Linked DNA regions of Pelodiscus sinensis. The protein of the gene in region 1 interacts with the protein of each later gene in a pairwise test. Links are inferred from orthologs where the notes say so. Each region holds a gene or a part of one and is shown on either strand. Other genes may lie near its edges.

The links.
Region 2: the proteins of EWSR1 (region 1) and phospholipid scramblase 2-like interact in binary tests that used the Homo sapiens proteins (3 or more experiments, as listed by UniProt). The two-hybrid records come from large-scale screens. The link is inferred for Pelodiscus sinensis from reciprocal best matches to the Homo sapiens genes EWSR1 and PLSCR1.
Region 3: the proteins of EWSR1 (region 1) and ATPAF2 interact in binary tests that used the Homo sapiens proteins (3 or more experiments, as listed by UniProt). The two-hybrid records come from large-scale screens. The link is inferred for Pelodiscus sinensis from reciprocal best matches to the Homo sapiens genes EWSR1 and ATPAF2.

What each region holds. Positions count from the first base shown.
Region 1 is NC_134725.1:5,537,947-5,546,030, reverse strand, and holds the start of EWSR1 (RNA-binding protein EWS), read right to left. Parts: upstream 3,069-8,084; 5' UTR 2,968-3,068; coding exon 2,955-2,967; intron 180-2,954; exon of another isoform or gene 159-179; coding exon of another isoform or gene 155-158; intron 1-154. UniProt on the Homo sapiens protein: Binds to ssRNA containing the consensus sequence 5'-AGGUAA-3'. Might normally function as a transcriptional repressor. EWS-fusion-proteins (EFPS) may play a role in the tumorigenic process.
Region 2 is NC_134720.1:23,898,604-23,906,034, reverse strand, and holds the start of phospholipid scramblase 2-like, read left to right. Parts: upstream 1-4,414; 5' UTR 4,415-4,429; coding exon 4,430-4,466; intron 4,467-7,431. UniProt on the Homo sapiens protein: Catalyzes calcium-induced ATP-independent rapid bidirectional and non-specific movement of phospholipids (lipid scrambling or lipid flip-flop) between the inner and outer leaflet of the plasma membrane resulting in collapse of the phospholipid asymmetry which leads to phosphatidylserine externalization on the cell surface.
Region 3 is NC_134726.1:33,122,715-33,130,223, reverse strand, and holds the start of ATPAF2 (ATP synthase mitochondrial F1 complex assembly factor 2), read right to left. Parts: upstream 3,018-7,509; 5' UTR 2,860-3,017; exon of another isoform or gene 2,808-2,859; intron 2,265-2,807; 5' UTR 2,248-2,264; coding exon 2,118-2,247; intron 2,045-2,117; exon of another isoform or gene 1,828-2,044; coding exon of another isoform or gene 1,743-1,827; intron 1-1,742. Other genes in the region: GID4 (glucose-induced degradation protein 4 homolog), read left to right, coding at 3,222-3,410. UniProt on the Homo sapiens protein: Plays a role in the assembly of the F1 component of the mitochondrial ATP synthase (ATPase).

The sequences.
Region 1 (8,084 bases):
TGTGGGACTTATGTGTTCAGTTCTCTTCTGTTTTATGAGACTCAACAATGCAATGGTATAGCACTAATGCAGCAGCTCCAGAAGAAAAACAAGCTCCTTTACTGAACAGAACAATAGGCGCATTTTTAAATATCATTTTGACAATTTCACTCACACATGTTTCTTTAGTAAATATTTTTTTCCACTGTTCATGGTGGCGTTAGAAGAACTTTCCTTTAAATGCCTTCTTTTCTTTTGAGGTGCTCCTCTCTTCAAGAGCTTGGCTTTAACTTTAAACTGAAGTGACATTGTCAATGTTGATAAGCCTGATGTTTGACCTATTTGTAACTTATAATTTTTTGCAACACTCGTGTACAATTGTATTTTCTTCAAAGAAATGCTTCATTGGTTTTCTCCAGAGGAAAAAAAAATTACCTGCCAGAAAGCAGCCATAAAAGAACTGAGTACACATGGAGGAAAGTAAATCATTAAATGGTTAATTTAAAAAAATAAATCTAACTGCTCAGTACTACAAGTTTTCTGGCAGAGCCGCATCAATTAAATATGATTTAAATAATTAAATGTATTCATATTTTGCATTTGCACTTTTCTTAAAGACCGTTTGATTCCCCAATGGGTAAATGTTAAAATATGTAGATTTGCAAGTAACTACATCTTTTACATGAAGGCTAAGTCTATGCTGGCACTTTACTGCACTATTCTGGCTCAGCTGGTGAAGAACACACACAGACACAGACACACACACCAGGGAACAGTGCTCCTCCTGGTGGAGGTGGTTTACTTAGAGCTGTGGTCACACTGCCACCTTAAAGTACTGCCACGGCCCCGCTTTAAACTTTCTAGTGTAGACAATGCCTTAATGTTGTGCTTTTTTTTTTTTTTTTTTTTTGCTAACAAGGATACATTACATCTATACATATGTAAGCAATTATCTAACAACTATTTATCAGATTACTAATTTTTTGCTGGATTGGTCAAGTGTCATTTGAATTAAATTAAAATTAAACCAGGAATGCACAAACCCAGCACTTAAACTTGTGCTAGATTAATAAAAAAAATTTAAAACATTTTGCATTTAAACTGACTAGAGAGTGAACTTATCTGATTGACTGCCCCCATCCTTCAAAATTTTAGAACTAGCAGATCCAATTATTTTACATATCATTTTTATTCAGATTAAACTTGCACTGCTTAACATTTTTTATTTTGTTGAAATATTAAATAGATTAAGGCTGACAAACGGTCAATTTCAAATATAATTTTAAATATTTATTAAACATTTAAATAAATCAGATTTAATAAAAATCAGTTTTAATTTTTTTTAGAAGCATGAATTTTTATTCAGTTTTCTAATGTTAAAGCTCTAAAAATCTCCATTTTAAACATCTTCACTGTGCTGATTTTTAAAGATAAACTGAAAGGATTAGGGTGTTCAAATCAAAGACATACTGGAGCAAAACTTTAGGCTTTTCTGATGAGTCTTTTCATAAGAGGGCTGTTGGCAAGTGAAATGCAGTATAATACTGGTATCAACACCAAGGCTATCAAACCAACAGCCATATAATGTAACAGGTCTTTAATCACAACACAATTCCTTTGTTTGATGTAGATGGATACTCCCAAATAGTAAAAACATCTTTGTCTGTACCAAGCTTTGTAAAGGTCCCAGAAAAAGTTACTCTGCCATCTATCCTATACAAAGAAACCATAATGTAGCCAGGTGTATTCATCACGGGGTCTATGATATATCTGTAGACCCAATATTAAACTACTTACCTTTTCACCCTAACCATATCCACAATAAGGCTCAGTAAATATTTACCAAAGAATTTCTGCAGGTTATTGCCTGCCTATGCCCAAAGCAGATTTTAAAATAAACTTCAAATACTGAGTGCTAATGGGAAGAGTGACTGCCCCATCCATCTTCCCTTCCCACTCTACTACAGAAATCTTAAGCAGCAGCAGCAGCTAAAACTATTTCTCCTTAAGAAACCTAGGCATTTTGCATTACACAATGATGGACGGAATGCATTACAAGACTAACAAGTAGAAACAAAAACTACAGTTCCTCCATTTTGATACACATTTCAATAGACACACTCAAAATCATTACTTTTACTACCAATACTTAATCTTATTTGTTCTATGACCACCACATAACATGCTGATTAAAAGTTGCTGATGTGCGGTTTTCAATGTGTGCTTTGCACAAGATCTTTAATCATGCAATTATGTTAAAAACAGTTATTTAGATCCTGTTTTTGCTTCAATACGATTGTAAATATTTCTATACACCCCAAAATTCAAGACAACTATTTCTAGCTCTTTGAATGTTAACATTTTGATGTAATCACTCCTTGCTCTGCCCCTCTAGGGCAATTCCTCTCATGTTAAGCCAGAGCCCTGTACATAAGCACTGTCGAGGGCCGCTGTAAGATTTTCGTGCGCTACTGTCTCTGTGCCTAAGAACATTTATGCATAAACCCGGCAGCGCTACGGACTCAGCGCCTGTGAGAAGGCCCCGGCCCCATTCTACTCCCAGCAGCAGCTCCCGGGACCGGCTGGAGCCGGGCGCGAGCAGCAGCGCGCTCTGGGCCTGGCCGCGCGCTCCCGGGACAGGGCCGGGCGGGATTCCCGCGGGCGGTGCAGCGGCCCGGCAGGAAGCGCCGCGCCCGCAGCCACGCGGGGCCCCGGCGCAGCGCCCGCCATGAGCACGCGCCCGTCCCGCCCTTCGCCGGCGCCTCCGCCATTTGCCGGCCCGGCCGGGCAGGCCCGCCCGCCGCCGGCCGTTACACAATGGCCAGCGCCGCCCCACGCGGCCCGGGAAGCTTCCAGAAGCGCCGGCCGGGCCGCGCCCCAGCCCCCCGCCGGGCGCCCTCCCCCCGGAGCTGGGGCTGGAATCGGGCCCGGCCCCCGCCCAGCGCCGCCCGGCCCGGCCCGGCCCCGTCGCTCACCCGTCGACGCCATTTTCTCGCCTTCCTCCTCGTCCTCTCAACGTCTGGTCGCTCTGCCGCGCGCTCGTGCGCATGCGCACCCTTTCCAACCTCGGCTCCTACCACTCGGCACCGGGGGGAGCTCACTACAGTTCCCTGCCGCATCCCGCTGCCCGGCGCCGCCCCCGCCAAGGAGCACACGGGGTCTGCAAGGAAAGCGAGAGCGGCCACGCAGATGCCGCTGCAGCCTTTCTCCCCTTCGGGGTGGCGAATGGTTCAGTCCATCCCAGCAAGGGAGCGTCGTTCAAGAGACGCGCTAGGGAAAGGCAGACTAGGCCTCAGCGGTGGGGGAAGGGAGCGCGGGCAGCGCGCAGCCAGGGTGCGGGGCGAGGCGTGCATGGGTCACATTGAGCTAGCCTGCAGTGCCGGGGACATGGAGCACTGGGGTGCCGCTGTGATGTCATTGCACGGTCACAGCGCGCCTCTGTGATGTCATTGCACGGTCACAGCACAGCACTGTGATGTCATTGCACGGTCACAGTGCGCCTCTGTGATGTCATTGCACGGTCACAGCGCACTGCTGTGATGTCATTGCACGGTCACAGTGCGCCTCTGTGATGTCATTGCACGGTCACAGCACAGCACTGTGATGTCATTGCACGGTCACAGCGCGCCTCTGTGATGTCATTGCACGGTCACAGCGCACCGCTGTGATGTCATTGCACGGTCACAGTGTGCCGCTGTGATGTATTGCACGGTCACAGCGCGCCGCTGTGATGTCATTGCACGGTCACAGTGCGCCGCTGTGATGTATTGCACCGTCACAGTGCGCCGCTGTGATGTATTGCATACAGCTGTGGGTAGAGCTCTGACGTCATTGTGCGGGTTTCAGTGCAATGAGCTAATGTCATGGGGGAATTATGCCATGTCCGTACCATGTTAACCGTGAAATAACACTGTGTGGGCCTTACCAGTTAAGCGGTGGCTCGACCGATGTGGGCAGAACCAGCCCACAAAATTTTGGCACTTGAGGCGGGAAGCTCAAATGACGCCCCCATGTTCCCTTGCTGCACCAGCAGCAGAAACAAGTTTCTACACCCTGGGTCCTAGTGGCGCCACCGCAGAGTCTGGCACCTGAGGAGGCCGTCTCAGCTCGCCTCACGGTAAGGCCAGCCCTGGCGTGGGCCCAGCCTAGCCCAAGTAGCCTGTGGCATTGCAGGCCCTTGGCGCTGACCAGAGCCCCCCCTCGGCCTTAGCGCTGACCAGAGAGCGACAGGCCCCCCCTCGGCCTTAGCGCTGACCAGAGAGCGACAGGCCCCCCCTCGGCCTTAGCGCTGACCAGAGAGCGACAGGCCCCCCCTCGGCCTTAGCGCTGACCAGAGCGCGACAGGCCCCCCCTCGGCCTTAGAACTGACCAGAGAGCGACAGGCCCCCCCTCGGCCCTTAGCGCTGACCAGAGAGCGACAGGCCCCCCCTCGGCCCTTAGCGCTGACCAGAGAGCGACAGGCCCCCCCTCGGCCCTTAGCGCTGACCAGAGAGCGACAGGCCCCCCCTCGGCCTTAGCGCTGACCAGAGAGCGACAGGCCCCCCCTCGGCCTTAGTGCTGACCAGAGAGCGACAGGCCCCCCCCTCGGCCTTAGCGCTGACCAGAGAGCGACAGGCCCCCCCTCGGCCTTAGCGCTGACCAGAGAGCGACAGGCCCCCCCTCGGCCTTAGCGCTGACCAGAGAGCGACAGGCCCCCCCTCGGCCTTAGCGCTGACCAGAGAGCGACAGGCCCCCCCTCGGCCCTTAGCGCTGACCAGAGAGCGACAGGCCCCCCCTCGGCCCTTAGCGCTGACCAGAGAGCGACAGGCCCCCCCTCGGCCTTAGCGCTGACCAGAGAGCGACAGGCCCCCCCTCGGCCTTAGCGCTGACCAGAGAGCGACAGGCCCCCCCTCGGCCCTTAGCGCTGACCAGAGAGCGACAGGCCCCCCCTCGGCCTTAGCGCTGACCAGAGAGCGACAGGCCCCCCCTCGGCCCTTAGCGCTGACCAGAGCGCGACAGGCCCCCCCTCGGCCTTAGCACTGACCAGAGAGCGACAGGCCCCCCCTCGGCCCTTAGCGCTGACCAGAGAGCGACAGGCCCCCCCTCGGCCCTTAGCGCTGACCAGAGAGCGACAGGCCCCCCCTCGGCCCTTAGCGCTGACCAGAGAGCGACAGGCCCCCCCTCGGCCCTTAGCGCTGACCAGAGAGCGACAGGCCCCCCCTCGGCCCTTAGCGCTGACCAGAGAGCGACAGGCCCCCCCTCGGCCTTAGCGCTGACCAGAGAGCGACAGGCCCCCCCTCGGCCTTAGCGCTGACCAGAGAGCGACAGGCCCCCCCTCGGCCTTAGCGCTGACCAGAGCGCGACAGGCCCCCCCTCGGCCTTAGAACTGACCAGAGAGCGACAGGCCCCCCCTCGGCCCTTAGCGCTGACCAGAGAGCGACAGGCCCCCCCTCGGCCCTTAGCGCTGACCAGAGAGCGACAGGCCCCCCCTCGGCCCTTAGCGCTGACCAGAGAGCGACAGGCCCCCCCTCGGCCTTAGCGCTGACCAGAGAGCGACAGGCCCCCCCTCGGCCTTAGTGCTGACCAGAGAGCGACAGGCCCCCCCCTCGGCCTTAGCGCTGACCAGAGAGCGACAGGCCCCCCCTCGGCCTTAGCGCTGACCAGAGAGCGACAGGCCCCCCCTCGGCCTTAGCGCTGACCAGAGAGCGACAGGCCCCCCCTCGGCCTTAGCGCTGACCAGAGAGCGACAGGCCCCCCCTCGGCCCTTAGCGCTGACCAGAGAGCGACAGGCCCCCCCTCGGCCCTTAGCGCTGACCAGAGAGCGACAGGCCCCCCCTCGGCCTTAGCGCTGACCAGAGAGCGACAGGCCCCCCCTCGGCCTTAGCGCTGACCAGAGAGCGACAGGCCCCCCCTCGGCCCTTAGCGCTGACCAGAGAGCGACAGGCCCCCCCTCGGCCTTAGCGCTGACCAGAGAGCGACAGGCCCCCCCTCGGCCCTTAGCGCTGACCAGAGCGCGACAGGCCCCCCCTCGGCCTTAGCACTGACCAGAGAGCGACAGGCCCCCCCTCGGCCCTTAGCGCTGACCAGAGAGCGACAGGCCCCCCCTCGGCCCTTAGCGCTGACCAGAGAGCGACAGGCCCCCCCTCGGCCCTTAGCGCTGACCAGAGAGCGACAGGCCCCCCCTCGGCCTTAGCGCTGACCAGAGAGCGACAGGCCCCCCTCGGCCTTAGCGCTGACCAGAGAGCGACAGGCCCCCCCTCGGCCCTTAGCGCTGACCAGAGAGCGACAGGCCCCCCCTCGGCCTTAGCGCTGACCAGAGAGCGACAGGCCCCCCCTCGGCCCTTAGCGCTGACCAGAGAGCGACAGGCCCCCCCTCGGCCCTTAGCGCTGACCAGAGAGCGACAGGCCCCCCCTCGGCCCTTAGCGCTGACCAGAGAGCGACAGGCCCCCCCTCGGCCTTAGCGCTGACCAGAGAGCGACAGGCCCCCCCTCGGCCTTAGCGCTGACCAGAGAGCGACAGGCCCCCCCTCGGCCCTTAGCGCTGACCAGAGAGCGACAGGCCCCTCGGCCTTAGCGCTGACCAGAGAGCGACAGGCCCCCCCTCGGCCTTAGCGCTGACCAGAGAGCGACAGGCCCCCCCTCGGCCCTTAGCGCTGACCAGAGAGCGACAGGCCCCCCCTCGGCCTTAGCGCTGACCAGAGAGCGACAGGCCCCCCCTCGGCCCTTAGCGCTGACCAGAGAGCGACAGGCCCCCCCTCGGCCCTTAGCGCTGACCAGAGAGCGACAGGCCCCCCCTCGCCCTTAGCGCTGACCAGAGAGCGACAGGCCCCCCCTCGGCCTTAGCACTGACCAGAGAGCGACAGGCCCCCCCTCGGCCCTTAGCGCTGACCAGAGAGCGACAGGCCCCCCCTCGGCCCTTAGCGCTGACCAGAGAGCGACAGGCCCCCCCTCGGCCTTAGCACTGACCAGAGAGCGACAGGCCCCCCCTCGGCCCTTAGCGCTGACCAGAGAGCGACAGGCCCCCCCTCGGCCTTAGCGCTGACCAGAGAGCGACAGGCCCCCCCTCGGCCCTTAGCACTGACCAGAGAGCGACAGGCCCCCCCTCGGCCCTTAGCGCTGACCAGAGAGCGACAGGCCCCCCCTCGGCCCTTAGCACTGACCAGAGAGCGACAGGCCCCCCCTCGGCCCTTAGCGCTGACCAGAGAGCGACAGGCCCCTCGGCCTTAGCGCTGACCAGAGAGCGACAGGCCCCCCCTCGGCCTTAGCGCTGACCAGAGAGCGACAGGCCCCCCCTCGGCCCTTAGCGCTGACCAGAGAGCGACAGGCCCCCCCTCGGCCTTAGCGCTGACCAGAGAGCGACAGGCCCCCCCTCGGCCCTTAGCGCTGACCAGAGAGCGACAGGCCCCCCCTCGGCCTTAGCGCTGACCAGAGAGCGACAGGCCCCCCCTCGGCCCTTAGCGCTGACCAGAGAGCGACAGGCCCCCCCTCGGCCCTTAGCGCTGACCAGAGAGCGACAGGCCCCCCCTCGGCCTTAGCGCTGACCAGAGAGCGACAGGCCCCCCCTCGGCCTTAGCGCTGACCAGAGAGCGACAGGCCCCCCCTCGGCCTTAGCGCTGACCAGAGAGCGACAGGCCCCCCCTCGGCCCTTAGCGCTGACCAGAGAGCGACAGGCCCCCCCTCGGCCCTTAGCGCTGACCAGAGAGCGACAGGCCCCCCCTCGGCCTTAGCGCTGACCAGAGAGCGACAGGCCCCCCCTCGGCCTTAGCGCTGACCAGAGAGCGACAGGCCCCCCCTCGGCCCTTAGCGCTGACCAGAGAGCGACAGGCCCCTCGGCCTTAGCGCTGACCAGAGAGCGACAGGCCCCCCCTCGGCCTTAGCGCTGACCAGAGAGCGACAGGCCCCCCCTCGGCCCTTAGCGCTGACCAGAGAGCGACAGGCCCCCCCTCGGCCCTTAGCGCTGACCAGAGAGCGACAGGCCCCCCCTCGGCCCTTAGCGCTGACCAGAGAGCGACAGGCCCCCCCTCGGCCCTTAGCGCTGACCAGAGAGCGACAGGCCCCCCCTCGGCCCTTAGCGCTGACCAGAGAGCGACAGGCCCCCCCTCGGCCTTAGCGCTGACCAGAGAGCG
Region 2 (7,431 bases), on another chromosome or scaffold:
CTATGTTGGGTAGCCTAGTTTACATGCCTCTGTCGGCAGAGACATGTAATCTAGACATACCCACAGTGCCCTAATGTGACTTTCAGCTTTTCTGTTCTCTCAGGTACACAGGAAAACTCCCAGGAAATTTTGAATTTCATTTCCTGTTTGGCCAGCATGGTAGGCTCAGAGGAAGGAAGGAATGAAAGATGGAACTAAAGCATGCTATACAAGTTTTTAATGTGGGAATAACTGTGCTTTCTACCAAGTTTAATTATTAAATTATCTTTTAAATTATCTATTAAAATCTAGATAATTTGATTATAGTAGAAAGGAAGGGACAATGAAGGCACCTCAGGGTGCAGAGAGAAAGGGGGTCTCTCCCTTGTCTCCCCCCACAATGTATTTTTACTTCATTTAGTTCAACCAAGAGTCTGACAGGGCACTATCAATGGCATCCTGATCATTGTTATTAACTTGGAGACAATTTTTGGCCCAGCTGAAGACAATTGTACAGGGAGCTTGTGAGTACCTGCATGGCAATCACTAGGCTAATGAGGTAACAATATCAGGAGTGGAAATAGGAAGCAAAAGCAGCTCAGAGGGTGAACCTAGGCAGAAGCCTAAAGGCTGTGGGGAAGCCTACCCTTGCTGTAAGACTGCATTGGATAAATGAAGAATCAGTACACATCTTGGTGTGTGTTTGTGACTGTGAAACCACATGAACTGGCTACATAGCATGGTTCAGTGGGTTGCAACAGAGCTGCCCTGTTACAAGGAAAGACCCGTGCTTTTATTGCTATAGATACCACTGTTGATGTATATGCTGCCACTGTACATTACTCAAGTATAAAAGAAGATACATGAATAATATGCAGTTGTTTTTTAGATAAGTCATTCACAAAAGTGGTCTAGGAAAGGCCTCTTCGTCTTTAATTATAGTGTTTCGACCATCAATATTAACAATGTTTCACATATCAAAAAAGCCATCTGTGAAATCGTCATGTTAGCATTTACTAAGTTAAGCAATACTTAGGAATGTCAACAGATTGGAAGAACTGTTCTTACAAATCGTATCCTGCTCTGTCACTCTGCAAATATGATTGTGCAATGTTACTATGAGAATAACTGTGCTGACATCTCTGTTACACTTTTAAATATGCCCAATGAGAATCAAATGTTTCCAGAATCCTAAACAATCTCAATCTGAGCCAGCAGCTCATTCATTTAATAAGAGTACCAAGTCATCTCCCACAGTTGCTGATTTGACTCAGTAAATATTATATGATATCAGAAGTTATAGTGGAAAAACATGTTTAACAATAATTTCCTCAACTGCCATGACACTGAAAGGAAATGTTGTAAGAAGTTCCATCAGTTTAAGCAAGTTGATAATTGTTCTCACTGCCAGAAGGTCTGAGAAAACACCTAAAATACTGTCAGTGACTTTCTTGATGGGCCACTCCTATTATTAGTACAAGCACAGGAGGGTGATTTTGCCTTGACTATGGAAAACACAGAGATATAGTGTATCTCTAGCAAAATGTTATGTTCAAGAGATATTTGTCATTTGCAATGAATCTGTAACTGGAAATGCTCAAAGATGTGAATTTGGGTCACTTTGACTCATTAATGAACAGACAAGAAAGCATATGGAATAATATAATAAACAGATTGAGACACTAACTGCTACAGGGAGCATGAGTTAAATTTAATCTGCCCCATAAACATCGGCAGGGGCAGTGAAATATAGCCACAGGCTCTAGAAGGTACAACAAACACCAATTCAATGAAGCAAAAAAACATAGCGGAAGGGAATGGAAATCACAATCAAAATAGAAATAAAAAGTTTTCTGAAATCAGATTCATATTTGATAGAAACGATGGTGAATGTGAGCCAAGAAATATAGTCAAATACAAAGAGACATAAATAATTTTTCAGAGGTATATTGTACTGTTACAACGTACCACCTATGCTTAAAGAACAGCAAGGCTTTGGATCTTGGGGATATATGGACTGTACAGCAAACTTCTTCACCTTGCAAAATACAACTAAATGTAAATGACAGATGTAGCCATTAAATAGGATAATAATGCACAATGGAGTGCAGTCCAAGAAAAAAAACTAGCTAAGGAAAAGGTACAGAAATCTAAAGCAGATTTCACATTTAGGACATAAAGAGTGAGTCTAGACCAGTGGTGGGCAACCTTTTTTTTCAACTGAGCCAAATCTCGCCAAAACCACGATTGAAATTTATTTTGAGAGCCACATTTTTAAACCCGAAAATACATAGGATGGTACACTGTTTTTAGTTTCAATAAGTTTTTATTGAGAATATTCTGCATGCAAGTATGCCTTTTCACCACTCTTGGGTATGTCTACATAAAAAAAGTATGCTTAACTCAAGGGTAGCTAATTTAGGACAAAACAGTGAAGATACAGCAACACAGCATTTAACTCTTATTAGTATACTGTTAAAGTCTATAGGGCAGCCTCAGATGAGCTAGCACTGCTAACCCAAGTTTAAAGCTAAATTGCTGTGCCTTAGTGAGCATGAGTTAAAACCCTTTTCCTCAGCAGTGAACTGTTCTCTTCTGATTCCCCTACATCTCTAATCCTCCATCAATAGGTCTTTCTAAAAATCCTCATCCCCACTCCATCTTTCTGTGGAAGTTGTATAGGGCTCTTCATCTATACCTTATAGCCAAGTAAACTAAATTGCAAAGAAGTTCAACTAGCATCTCTATGCTGCCAGCTCAGTATTTCAGATCAGTCTCCCTCTGTCCAAATTCACATCTCAAGCTTGAAATTCCTAACTATAAGGTCACAGAAAGCAAATAAAACCTTAAAATGTTCAGGCTACAGTTACACATCACAAAGCAGCACAAAAGGAACAACCCCCTCCCAGCAAGTCAGTTTTAAATAAACAAAGCTCCCCCAGCAGTATCTGCAATCCAAACATGAGGAAGTGCATTAACTCACTGGAACAATTACAGAAAGGCTACAATAAAAAAAACCAAATCCTGCAACCCAATCGCCCTATTTTCATTGTTCAATTGCAAGAAGTGAGTAACCTCAAGGGTGAAGACTGCACTGGATTTTTAGAGAGCTTCCAGTTTCCAGAATCCCGGCTGTTCTTGTTAACACTTCTTAGAGGTATCTGTGTGTTGTCTGGTCTCTGGCTATCATGATAAGGGACCTTCTGCACTGAGTATCTTTGCACAGGCCCCTCCGAGTGATTACGATAAGAAAGAACTAGTATTTTACAGACTGTTTAATTCACACAGAAAGAAACTTCTTCTCTCATTTCAGACCAAGCAAAAATTCAGAATGAAGCATCGCTAAAATCCACCCCTCTACTCTCCCGGGCCGTTTATCTGCCCAGGAGTGTTTTACACAGGTTCAAACTAAATGCTCCAAAATGCTTAGCATAACGTTCAAAGCGCAACAGCAGCACAGGCCAGCCAGGGTGGGGGTCTCAGCTGAGAAAAGGCTCCGCAACAAAACAAACGAGCTGTGAAGCAAGGAGTGAGACCCGCGAGCAAAGGCAGCCCGCCCCAAGAGACTGGGGTCCCAGCACCAGAGACAGGCAGCTCCGTGTAGAGACCCCAACGCCACCACCCCCCGACCATACAATTCAGACACCCCGACTTCCCGCAACGAAAAGAAGTGTCTGATCTGCCCCTCCTCCACGCGTCCGCACTGTCCTTTCCCGCACCCCGCCCTTCCTGCCACTTCCCCGTCTGCCCTCTCCGTCCCCGCCCGCCTCACTGACCCGCCCCGTCCTCTACCCCTTCCCAGTGCCCCTGTCTCGTCCACTCCCCCGCCCCGCTGTGTGTCCGGCCGGGCGCCGTGCTGCCCCGGGCGCCACCCCCCCACTGCCCTTGCCCCCTCCTTTCTCCCCACCCGTCCCACTGCCCCTGCCCCCTCCATTCTCCCCCTCCGCCCCTGCCCCCTCCATTCCCCACCCGCCCCACTGCCCCTGCCCCCTCCATTCTCCCCCTCCGCCCCTGCCCCCTCCATTCCCCACCCGCCCCACTGCCCCTGCCCCCTCCTTTCTCCCCCTCCGCCCCTGCCCCCTCCATTCCCCACCCGCCCCACTGCCCCTGCCCCCTCCTTTCTCCCCCTCCGCCCCTGCCCCCTCCATTCCCCCCCCCGCCCCACTGCCCTCCTTTCCCCGCCCCTGCTCCCTCCTTCTCCCCCACGCCCCATCTTCCCCTCCGTCCCACGGTTCCTCCACCCGCCACTCTGCCCGGGCGGCGCCCCCCCCGTCCCTGCCTCTAGCCCCCTTCCTTTACCCCCCCCCCACTATCTCTATGCCCTCCTATTCCCGCCCCCCCGTCTCACTGCCCCCCGGCCCGGCACTCACACGAAGCGGCGCTGAGCAGCAGGAGGTGCCACCGGCCCCACTTGCCGAGACCAGCCATCGCCGCGCTCCCAACTGTGCCAATGAGCTCCGAGAAACACCACCCAGCCCCCTTCCCAGGTGAGGCCCCGCCCCCGGAGCCCCATTGGATCCCGGCCCACGCCCACCCGCCCCCTGCGGCCCTGCCCCACTCCAAATGCGGTTTGAATTGCGGTTTGGTCTAGTAACTAGACTTTTGGGGCGGCCGCCCGAGAGGAGGGAGGGGAGCGGGCGCCCGGCACACAGAAGAGCCGCATTAAAGCGTGTAAAGAGCCGCATGTGGCTCGCGAGCCGCGGCTTGCCGACCACTGGTCTAGACTACAGGGTTTTGTCAACAAAAGTGACCTTTTGTCGATAAAACTATACCTCTGTCTACACTATTGCCAAGTTCTGTCGACATAACATTGACAGAACTCGGCAGTTTTGCCAACGGCAGTAAACCTCATTCTATGAGGAATAACGCCTTTTGGCAACAGAGTTCTGTCGACAGAAGGTGTTATTGCATCTACACTGTCCTTTGCACCTACACTCACATGTCGACAAAGCGGCTTGCTTTGTCAACAGAACTGGATGTAGTCTAGACACTCTTTGTTGAAAAAAGCTTTGCTGACAGTATCTGGCCCAGCGGGCCATCGTCTGAATGGACTGTAATATCCACCATAAAGCTTCTAATACCGTGGTCACCAACCAGTCGATCGTGAGGCATTCGGGGCCACCCCTGTGATTTTCCCCCACCCCCAAGAAGTCCTACTACCTACCTCCAGTGACAATAGAAGTAGTGGCGGCTTCCTGCAGGGTGGACAGAAGTCCAGCAGCTGCGCGCCACTTCCAGGGGTTCCGGAAGTGCAGTGGCTGCTCCCCTCCCCCAGGTCTGTAGCGTGCTGGGAATTGGCATGGTGGGGCGGGGGGAGTCCCCAGAGGAGGTGCGTGCCAGGGTTTCCCTCCTCTGCGGGGGGAAGGGAGAGGGGAGAAGAGTGCTGGGAGGAGGCAGGTGCGGGAGACTCCCTGCCCCAACTGGCACCCTGTCCCCTGCTGCAGAACCCTGCCCTCTGCCCCCTGCCCCTCCGTTCTCCTCTGGTACCCTGTCCCCCACTGGCACCCTGTCCCCTGCCCCAATTGGCACCATCCCCTGCCCCAGCACCCACTAGCACCCTTCCCTACTACCATGTCTCCTGCTTCCACCAGCGTAGTAGGGGCCACAGTAGTGAGGTTTGGGGTTTTTTTGGAGGAGGTTTTTTTTTTGCATCTCACTTGTGTTGCCCCAACTGACTTTTCTGTGAGTCAGTGACACCTGATTCAAAACAGGTTCCCTGCCCTTCTAATAAATAAAGACAATGCAGAAACTTTTTGTGTTTGACATAGTATTTTATTTAAAAATGAAACCTGTCCAACAAACTCCCAATTGCGGCCAAGTCCCCATCTAGCCTCAGCATCATAACACTGCTACACCCCGTCCCAGACTCTAGATCTGAGCCTATCATACACTGGAACCCCCTGCCCTGAGCCCCTGACATATTCCAACCCAAATTCCTGCACCTTCACATCCACAAGCCTGTGGCTTGCTTAGTACCCCAACCCTCCATCTGACCTCAACACTCCCCAGCCAGGAGTCCCCTCCCTGAGCCAGCATCCCTTTCTCCACCTCCTCCAAATTTTCTCCCAGAGCTTGACCCTCCCACCCCTTTCCACACCCAAATCCCTCATTCTCACCCCAGAGCATACATATCCTGTCTCAAGCCAGTGAGAGTATTGCTAGACTGCAGGAGTTTTTCCAGGATTCCAGAGATATCCCGGAAAAATTCTTCCACGTCCATGGATGCGTTTGTTCTTCCATTTTTTCTGGCGGAAGAGCAAACATGCTCTTTCAGCAAGCCCTGTATTCCTCGTTCCACAAGGAATAAGGGGACTTCTGAAAGAAGGGTTTTTTCTGACATTTGGTCCTGTCCAGATAGGCCAAATGTTGGAAAAACCTCTTCCTACAGAAGAATCGGAAAAAAAGCAGCAGTGTAGAGTGTAAAAGGGCTGGGGATAGCAAGTGATGGAGAGGAGGAAAATAGAGAGGGTAGGTGGAGTCTTGGGGGAAGGATGGAGTGGTAAATCTTGGCTTGTTCTGACATTTAAAAAACGATCTTAGGTGTAAAAAGGTTGGAGACCACTGTTCTAATACCAAAAAAATCTATAATACCAAAATACAAAATGTTTCCGAATAAATGTGAGGCGGCCGAGGCCATGTGTGTATGTGTGTGTGGTTAGGAGTGGGTCGCTGCACCGGCTTGGCCTTAGTTTCTTTGGCACTAAAGTGAATGACATCACTTTATGGTTGAAATCAACGAAATGGACGTGCAATGCTCAATGCTCGATGGTGCATAACAGTAATGCGTAGGCCTGCTTTGTGCAATGGTGGAATCGGTGATGGATTAGCTTGAATCTTGACCGGTGAACAAAGAGTATGCAGCGGTTGGATGCGTTCTGTTATCGTCTGTCATTGTGGGTGTGTGGTTTTCCATAACTGACAATAAATAACAGTGTGAGTATGGTGTAAACGAACAAAGATAGTGTGCGTGAAAAAGTCGGCCGTTCTCAACTCATTTCCCGGGCCTATTTTGATTGCCAGTCCACCCCTGCATATAATTCATTTCAACCCTGTAAAATGGTCAAAGTGAATTGGTAAAATTTATACTGAAAAAACAAACATTAATAAGCATTTGAGAAGTGAGATGCTATTCACCAATCTATCAGTTTTAAAATATTATTCTTTAACTGAGCCATTTGTATTCACAGCAGATATTTTTGAAAAACCGCTATTTGCATCAACACTCTTAACGAGGCAGAAAGAAATGATGTATACACAGTAAAATATATATAATTTTTACAGTATCTTTGAGGACTTTTTTTGCTGCACTTTGAAATAGAACATCTTCCCTGCTACAGAGGCAGAAGAGAGTGCTACATTTTCTCTAGCTCCCTCAATTCCCAAGTTACAACAGGTAGTATATTTTCTTTAGTCTTTCTCTGCCCTTAGAATTTCCCATCTTTGTATGGTACT
Region 3 (7,509 bases), on another chromosome or scaffold:
TGTCGATGTCCAGCACCTCAGCTAGTAGAGGCCCACTCTCAAGTGGCCTGTAGGCACTACTGTAATAAACATGACCAATGATAATATTAAACAGATGTGAGGCCCCAGAGAACAGGACAGGCCTGGAATACATGCTGGTGCAATCCCTACCAGCAAGCCCCTCTTTGCCAGGCTGAATATTAAACTAGCCCTGCATCAGCCCAGCTCTTCAGCCACTACCTTGGAAACAAAAGTAATGTGACCTGTCGAGCATTGCTCAGCTGGCCATGGCTTTTCCACCCGCTGGAGAAGCAGCAACTCTAATCAGCAGGTACTATCGGTCCCATGTAGTTAAGGCAGGTCACCAATATCCAGCCAGCTTTTAAAACAGCTCCCTCTGGTGCGATTTCAGGCGGAAGCTGATGATATACCTGAATCTAGAATAGCCCCTAAATTACAGTGCCAAGCTAGCCTGTCACACTGCCCTGAACGCCCTCTGGCTGGATCCAGGAGCATTGCACGCAACACACTGTAAACCCATGTCCTGAGTGAGTTCACGTAGATGCCAGGTAGACCACAGCATACAATTTAATATATTGAGGGTCTACCTCCCGTTATGCTGCACCCACTATGTCAAGGAGAATGTCTGGTGCAATAAATAGCAAGTCTACCTTTAGGGCTACAGGTCATAGTTTTAGAAGCAATTTACATTTGGCATCTGCACTGTTGCAAGGCACAGCCATTAGACTTCTAAATGGCATGAACAGCACCTGCTAACTTCCTGACAGCATCCACATGTAACACAGTTAGATCCCTGCACTGACAGACAGCCCACCCTGCACAAAAACCACAGGCAACATAAATGAATTCAAAGGACTTCTAGGGCCTGTACTATGCAGGAGGCCCGACTAGCTGATCACAATGGTTCTTTCTGGCTTTGGAATGTAGGAATGAATTAACACGTGAAGACAGGCTCTCTGAGGGCATGCAGAGCAACAGCTGATAAATTCCAAACTGAAAGCTATAGGCTGGCCCTGTGGATCCAGTTCCCAGAGTCTGTGTTAACACAGAGACCCGGCCATTTAGACAGACACCTGGTCCCATTTCCCACACAAAACACAGAGAACACAAAACCTCTCCAAATCTTTGCCTTGGCAGTACAACATAGGTGTATGTACATAATCTCTAGAGTTAACAACTGTTACTGGACTGCAGCTCCATTTCTACATCTACTGTGCACACAGGGCCCCTGGGTTTCCAGAGTCCCAGTTAAGGCAGACTGCCTAGAAACAAGACAGTTGCAGGATCAAGGGACTTAAAGAATGCCATATTTTAAGGCTATTCAAGCATGCGCCCACAGCCTTGATCCTGCAACAAGACACCCTCACCCCCTCAAGTCCTGATTTAATGGGGCTCCAGGATGTGCATTTCATTGCAAGTTCAGAGTCTTAGTTTGTGAGAAACAAAGGATCAAATTTCACCATCCTCATACAAACAATTGAAATCACAGAGGAAAGATGTTGAAAGCACCACTTTACGACTAAGGAAGGATGGACTGGGGTGAAGGGACTCAGGAGACCTAGGTTTCATTTGCTGCTCTGCCACAGACTTTGTGTGTGACCTCCAGTTTTCTGTCCTTCCGCATCTCCTGTATAAAGTGGGAAATCACAGCACTGCTTAGCCCTACAAGGGGGCTGTGAGAAGGAGTAGATTAAAGAACTTGAGGTACTCAGCTGCCATGGTGATTGAGCTCATAACAGTACCTAAAATAGAACTGCAGGTACTCAGTGAGGCTGTATGCAGGCAGAGCAGCAGGCTCACATGCTGGCAGCAGGAGGCGTGAGGCATTAGATTTTGAGCTCACTGGGCCAGCGATGTCATTTTCTTTTGCCTCTGCACATAATAAATGTTTGTTGTTGGGCTTGATGTTTCAGATGTTCAGTTGGGGCCCATTCCACAAACCAGAGCTCTCCTCTGTAAATGGGGGACGGGGCATCACATCCCTCTCATAAACTGTGGTCACAGCTGGCTTTTACAACTAGTCAATTCCACCACTGAAAAACATCCCTGCAATTGGAAATAACCATGCTGAAATTTGCCGAGCATGCAGCAGGACTGCTGTCCAGCGTTGTCCTCACCTGTTGGTGGCGTGTATGCCCGTACCATGCACGGCAGCCAAAGACTGGGGCCCCCAACAGGAAGTGTTGGGCACAGCCATGGAGCCTGAGGCAGCCCGGCGTAGAACAGCCGCTGGCAACTGCGCCACATTCTGGGGAGACCGTGAGCTACAGCAAGATGGGAACGGCCTGGACTTGTTACATACAGGTGCGCCTAACACCTTGGGATGGCCTACCAGCATCTAGCCCCCCCCCCCCAAGAGCTCCCTGCCGGGATCACGGCCCCCCCCCCAAGAGCCCCCTGCCAGGATCACGCCCCCCCCCCAAGAGCCCCCTGCCGGGATCACGGCCCCTCCCCCAAAAGTTCCCTGCCGGGATCACGCCCCCCCCCCAAGAGCCCCCTGCCGGGATCACGGCCCCTCCCCCCCCCAAGAGCCCCCTGCCGGGATCACGGCCCCTCCCCCCCCCAAGAGCCCCCTGCCGGGATCACGGCCCCTCCCCCCCCCAAGAGCCCCCTGCCGGGATCACGGCCCCTCCCCCCCCAAGAGCCCCCTGCCGGGATCACGCCCCCCCCCAGAGCCCCCTGCCGGGATCACGCCCCCCCCCCCCAAGAGCCCCCTGCCGGGATCACGCCCCCCCCCAGAGCCCCCTGCCGGTACAAATAGGACCGGGAGGGGAAGGACAGACCCCCGCGGAGCCCACTGTACAGACCCGGGCCCCACTCCCTACGGGGCCGCACGGACGCGACTTGCGAGCCACCTGCCTCCACCTCACCGCCGCGGCCCGGTTACCCAGCCACTCTGCCTCTGGGCGCCGCCATCTTGCTCGCCCAGCGTCCAATCAGCATCACAAACGCTTTTTGTCCCTCCGAGGGCCCTGTCACAAGGCCCTCACAGAAACAACGATTCCCAGGAGCCAGCGCGGCCCCCACGTGACGCCCATCGCCCAATGGGAACGGCGCCCCGCCCGACGCGACGCCCGCTGGGCCAATCAGAGCGCGCGGAGGCGTCGCCGGGAGGCCCTGAGGTAGGCGGCGGGGGCAGCCGGCGAGCGCCCGGGTCAGCAAGGCGGCCGGGCCGGCTCCCTGCAGCCCGTGACACGCTGGCGCCCGGGGACCCCCCCGAGATGCCGGTGCGGAGCGAGTGCTGCTGCCCGGGGGGAGCGCGGGGCCGCGGGGCCGCCAGCCTGGTGCCGCCGCCCCCCATCAACACGGCGCAGCCCGGGGTCGCCACCTCCCTGCTCTACAGCGGGGCCAAGTTCCGCGGCCAGCAGCGCAGCAAGGGCAACGCCTACGAGGTGGAGGTGGTGATGCAGGTGCGGCCCCCCCCCGGCATCCCCCGTGTCCCCCAGCGCCCCCTCGGGCGGGACCCCCACAGCCCCTCCCGGCGCCCCCCCAACATCTCTCCCCTCTCGGGATCCCCCCCAGAGACCTCCCCAAAGCGCCCCTCCCCCCGACACCCCTCTCGAGCCCCCCCTCCTGCTTCCCTTTCTGGGGCCCCCCCAGAGACCTCCCCAAAGCGCCCCTCCCCCCGACACCCCTCTCGAGCCCCCCCCTCCTGCTTCCCTTTCTGGGGCCCCCCCAGAGACCTCCCCAAAGCGCCCCTCCCCCCGACACCCCTCTCGAGCCACCCCCTCCTGCTTCCCTTTCTGGGCCCCCCCAGAGACCTCCCCAAAGCGCCCCTCCCCCCCGACACCCCTCGAGCCACCCCCTCCTGCTTCCCTTTCTGGGGCCCCCCCAGAGACCTCCCCAAAGGGCCCCTCCCCCCCGACACCCCTCGAGCCACCCCCTCCTGCTTCCCTTTCTGGGCCCCCCCCAGAGACCTCCCCAAAGCGCCCCTCCCCCCGACACCCCTCTCGAGCCACCCCCTCCTGCTTCCCTTTCTGGGGCCCCCCCAGAGACCTCCCCAAAGCGCCCCTCCCCCCCGACACTCCTCGAGCCCCCCCCTCCTGCTTCCCTTTCTGGGGCCCCCCCAGAGACCTCCCCAAAGCGCCCCTCCCCCCCGACACCCCTCGAGCCACCCCCTCCTGCTTCCCTTTCTGGGGTCCCCCCAGAGACCTCCCCAAAGGGCCCCTCCCTCCCCAGGGCATCCCCTCCAGTCCCAAGATGCCGCCTTCTGCAGTTCTCCCACCAGGGATTCCTACCCCCCTCCCCCAGCATCTCTCCTCCTTGGGGCATCTCCCCTGAGCGTCCCTCGTCTTGAGGGAACCCTTCCACCACCACCCTGTAGCCCTTCCTGGGGCTCTCCTATGAGTGATCCATCCCCAAGTGTCTCTCCCTTTAGAGGAATCCACCTGAGCGCTTCTCTCTGCTGTGAGGCACCCTCCCCCCCCAGTGCTCCCCTGCACCTCTCCTGGGGTCCTCCCCCAGGGACACCCCCTAGAGTGCCGTCATTTGGGGACTTCCTAGTTTGTCCCTGTCTGCTGCTGGGGTCTTCCTAGTGGGACTTCCCTCGAGAGCATCCTCTGCTGCTCTCCCAGCAGCCTCCTCCTAGAGCACCTCTAGCATCTTCCCTCTCACTCTACCCTAGACTGTCTCCCAGGGACCTCCTGAGCAGCACCTACCCCCCCCCCCCGCCCGCCGATTCCCCCAGTACCCCATGTCTCATCTTTTAGGGTCCTTTCTCTTGAGATCCCCCTATTCTCCTAGAGCACCTCTTGGGGATTCTTCTGTTCACTTCCTGCCCCACTGCGGCCTTCTTTGGAGGACCTCTGACCAGCAGAGCATGGACTTCTGTGCAACCCAGGCACTCACAGGCCCCCTGAGAACTCTCCTCCAATGACTACTCCATAGAGATTTCTTTCCCTAATTCCCCCATTTCACAGAGATCAAGAACCAACATCGGTACATGCAATATTTTATTTTAAAGCATCTTTCTTTCTCAGATTGGGTCCTTGGTCCCTGAGATGTCCACAAGGACTGCCTTCCTTTATGTATCCATGTTGACCCCATAACATCCCCTCATGTGATTTCTCCATTCCTAAGGCACCCCTTCCCTCAAATTGGGACCTACTGCTCCTAAGACCTTTGTTTTGGGTCCCCCACTTCTAGGGAACTTCATCTTCAGAGATCAGGTGGGGACCCCAGACCAAATAGCACAGGCTGGGTCTGTGAGGTGGCTGTCCAGGGGAGGTTAGGGACCCTTCCTACCCAGGGAAGGCCTTCATGACTCCAGATGTACCCTGGCCCAGCAGCACTTGCGAGGGGCAGGTGATGTGGGTGGATCCCCTTCCCCAGAACACCCTTTGCCCCCAATTTGGATCTGAAACTCAAGAGTAGCTGTATAACAGAGAAAAACAATCTCTGATCTGGGCAAGGTAGGTGACACCTTTCTAGGGACCCATCAGGCCTACAGCCCAAATTGCCCCTTCCTGGAGCAGTGGGAGTAGAACAGAGTAAGTGAATGAAACTAGCTTGAGTCTTCTTCCCACAGCTGCAGTTGAGGAAGAAAAGCAGCTGGGACTGGCTGAGTGGGTAGTTGCATGGCAAGCCAGGCTACATCAAGAGGGCTGGGGAGGAAACTACTGCATCACATGCTTGTCATCTGGGTGTAAGCTGTTCTCCAGCCATCATAGACACTGCCAAGCTGTGCACAGAAATTCAAATGACGCCCCCGGTGATTAGCAGAGTCCCACAGCTAGGCTTTTTGTTTCTACTGGTGGTGCACATCTGCACATCCCTCTGTGCACGTATAAATGTATTCCGCACATGGTTGGAAAAGATTAGAGGAAACGTTGATCATAGGTGTTTTGGCCCTGGGGGCTTGCATGGGGATTTCAGCCTTTCAGCCCTGAGATTAACAATCCCTGCATGTCTTGTCTCTGTCTTGGAAGTGTTTGGCTCTCACCGTGACAAGGGGACAATGGCCGTGCCTACTGGCATGTCAGCAGCACAGCTTCAAGGCTGCAGATGTGTCATTGTGGTATAGTGTAATCCCTTCTTACTGCAACAGGGCTTTTTCTGTTGTGGTAGTTAATCCTGCTCTGTGGTCTGTGGTAGCTAAGGCCAGGTCTGCCCAGCTGTGTTGCTCAAAGTATGAAAGATCCACATCCCTTAGAGATATAGATAAGTTGCCTGAACCCAGTATTCTTCCATCGACCAAGCTACTGCGGCTCAGGGAGGTGGAACCTCCCATCTCTGTAGGGAATGTTTACACTGAAGCAGTGTCTTTATACCACTGTAGTGGTTGAAGAGTAGAGATAACCTAAGTGGACAGACACCTCAGTCTAAATGCTTCTACACTGGGAACTAGGTCATCTTAAATGCAGTGATCCAGTGCAAATCTTTCACTCCCCTCAGTCATATAGCTAGGTTGATAAATTGTAAGTGTGGACCAGGCCTTAGAGCAGGGGTGGGCAATAATTTTGGATGGGGAGGGCACTCCAAGATTTTGTTACGGGATTAAGGGCTGCATTTCTATAGAGACGGTGTGGTGTCTGGGGTAGAGGCTGGGTGAAGAAGGGATCTCAGGGGAAGAGTGTGGGGTGCAAGAGAGGGGTCTGAGAGAGAGTTTGGATGAAGGAGGGGGTTGTGACTTGGGGCAGGAGATTAGGGTTCAGGGTCCCAGAGGAGGTAGAGTGCAGGAAAGGATTTTGGCCTGGTAGAGGGGTGTAGGAGGGATTGCAGGGTCTGGGAGGGAGTTGTGACTGGGGCGGGGGGAGGTAGGGTTTGCAGAGGGTCTAGGTGGTGACCTGGGGCAGGGATTAGGGGGTGGGAGTACCAGAGGCAGGCTCTGTTGAGGAGGTGCTTACCTTAGGTGGCTTCTAGCCAGCAGCCCACCAGGGACCCCAAGGCAGCCTATCTGCATGTCGCAGCCCCAGGCTGCTCAGAACAGCTGGCAGCTCCCTCTAGGTGCCGCACACTCCGGCAAGGTGGATGGGGACTTCACATGCTGCCTCCACCCCCATCCAATTATCACAGCTCTCATTGGTTGGTTTCTGGCCATTGGGAGCTGTGGTGATTGGCCTGGGGTCAAGGGCAGCATGCAAAGTCTCCCCTTCTGTCCCAGCCAGGAGTGCGCAGCACATAGAGGGAACCACCTGCTGTTTTGAGCAGCCTTGGGCTCCAGCAGGCAGGAAGCTGAATCAAAAGGCATAGCGGGCCAAATGTGGCCTGCAGGCATTAAAATGCCCACCCCTGCCTTAGAGCAAACCAAAGCAATCAGTCCCAGAAAGGTATGTAGCAAAAGCAGCTGTTGGGGGCCAGCTGTGCTGCAGCTTTCATTTGAGCTGATCACTTGTCTCTGCAGCCCTCCCATTCCTGTTGAGCGTGATTGTTTCTGGGTGCTTTATTTTTAGTTGTAGGCATTGGCATGATCACTGTGAGCAGAGCTGGCGAGATGTGGGATTGTGTATAAGCAGCAAGCCAGACATCTGATACACTCTCGCTATAAAACATGTGGCATGTTACAGCCCT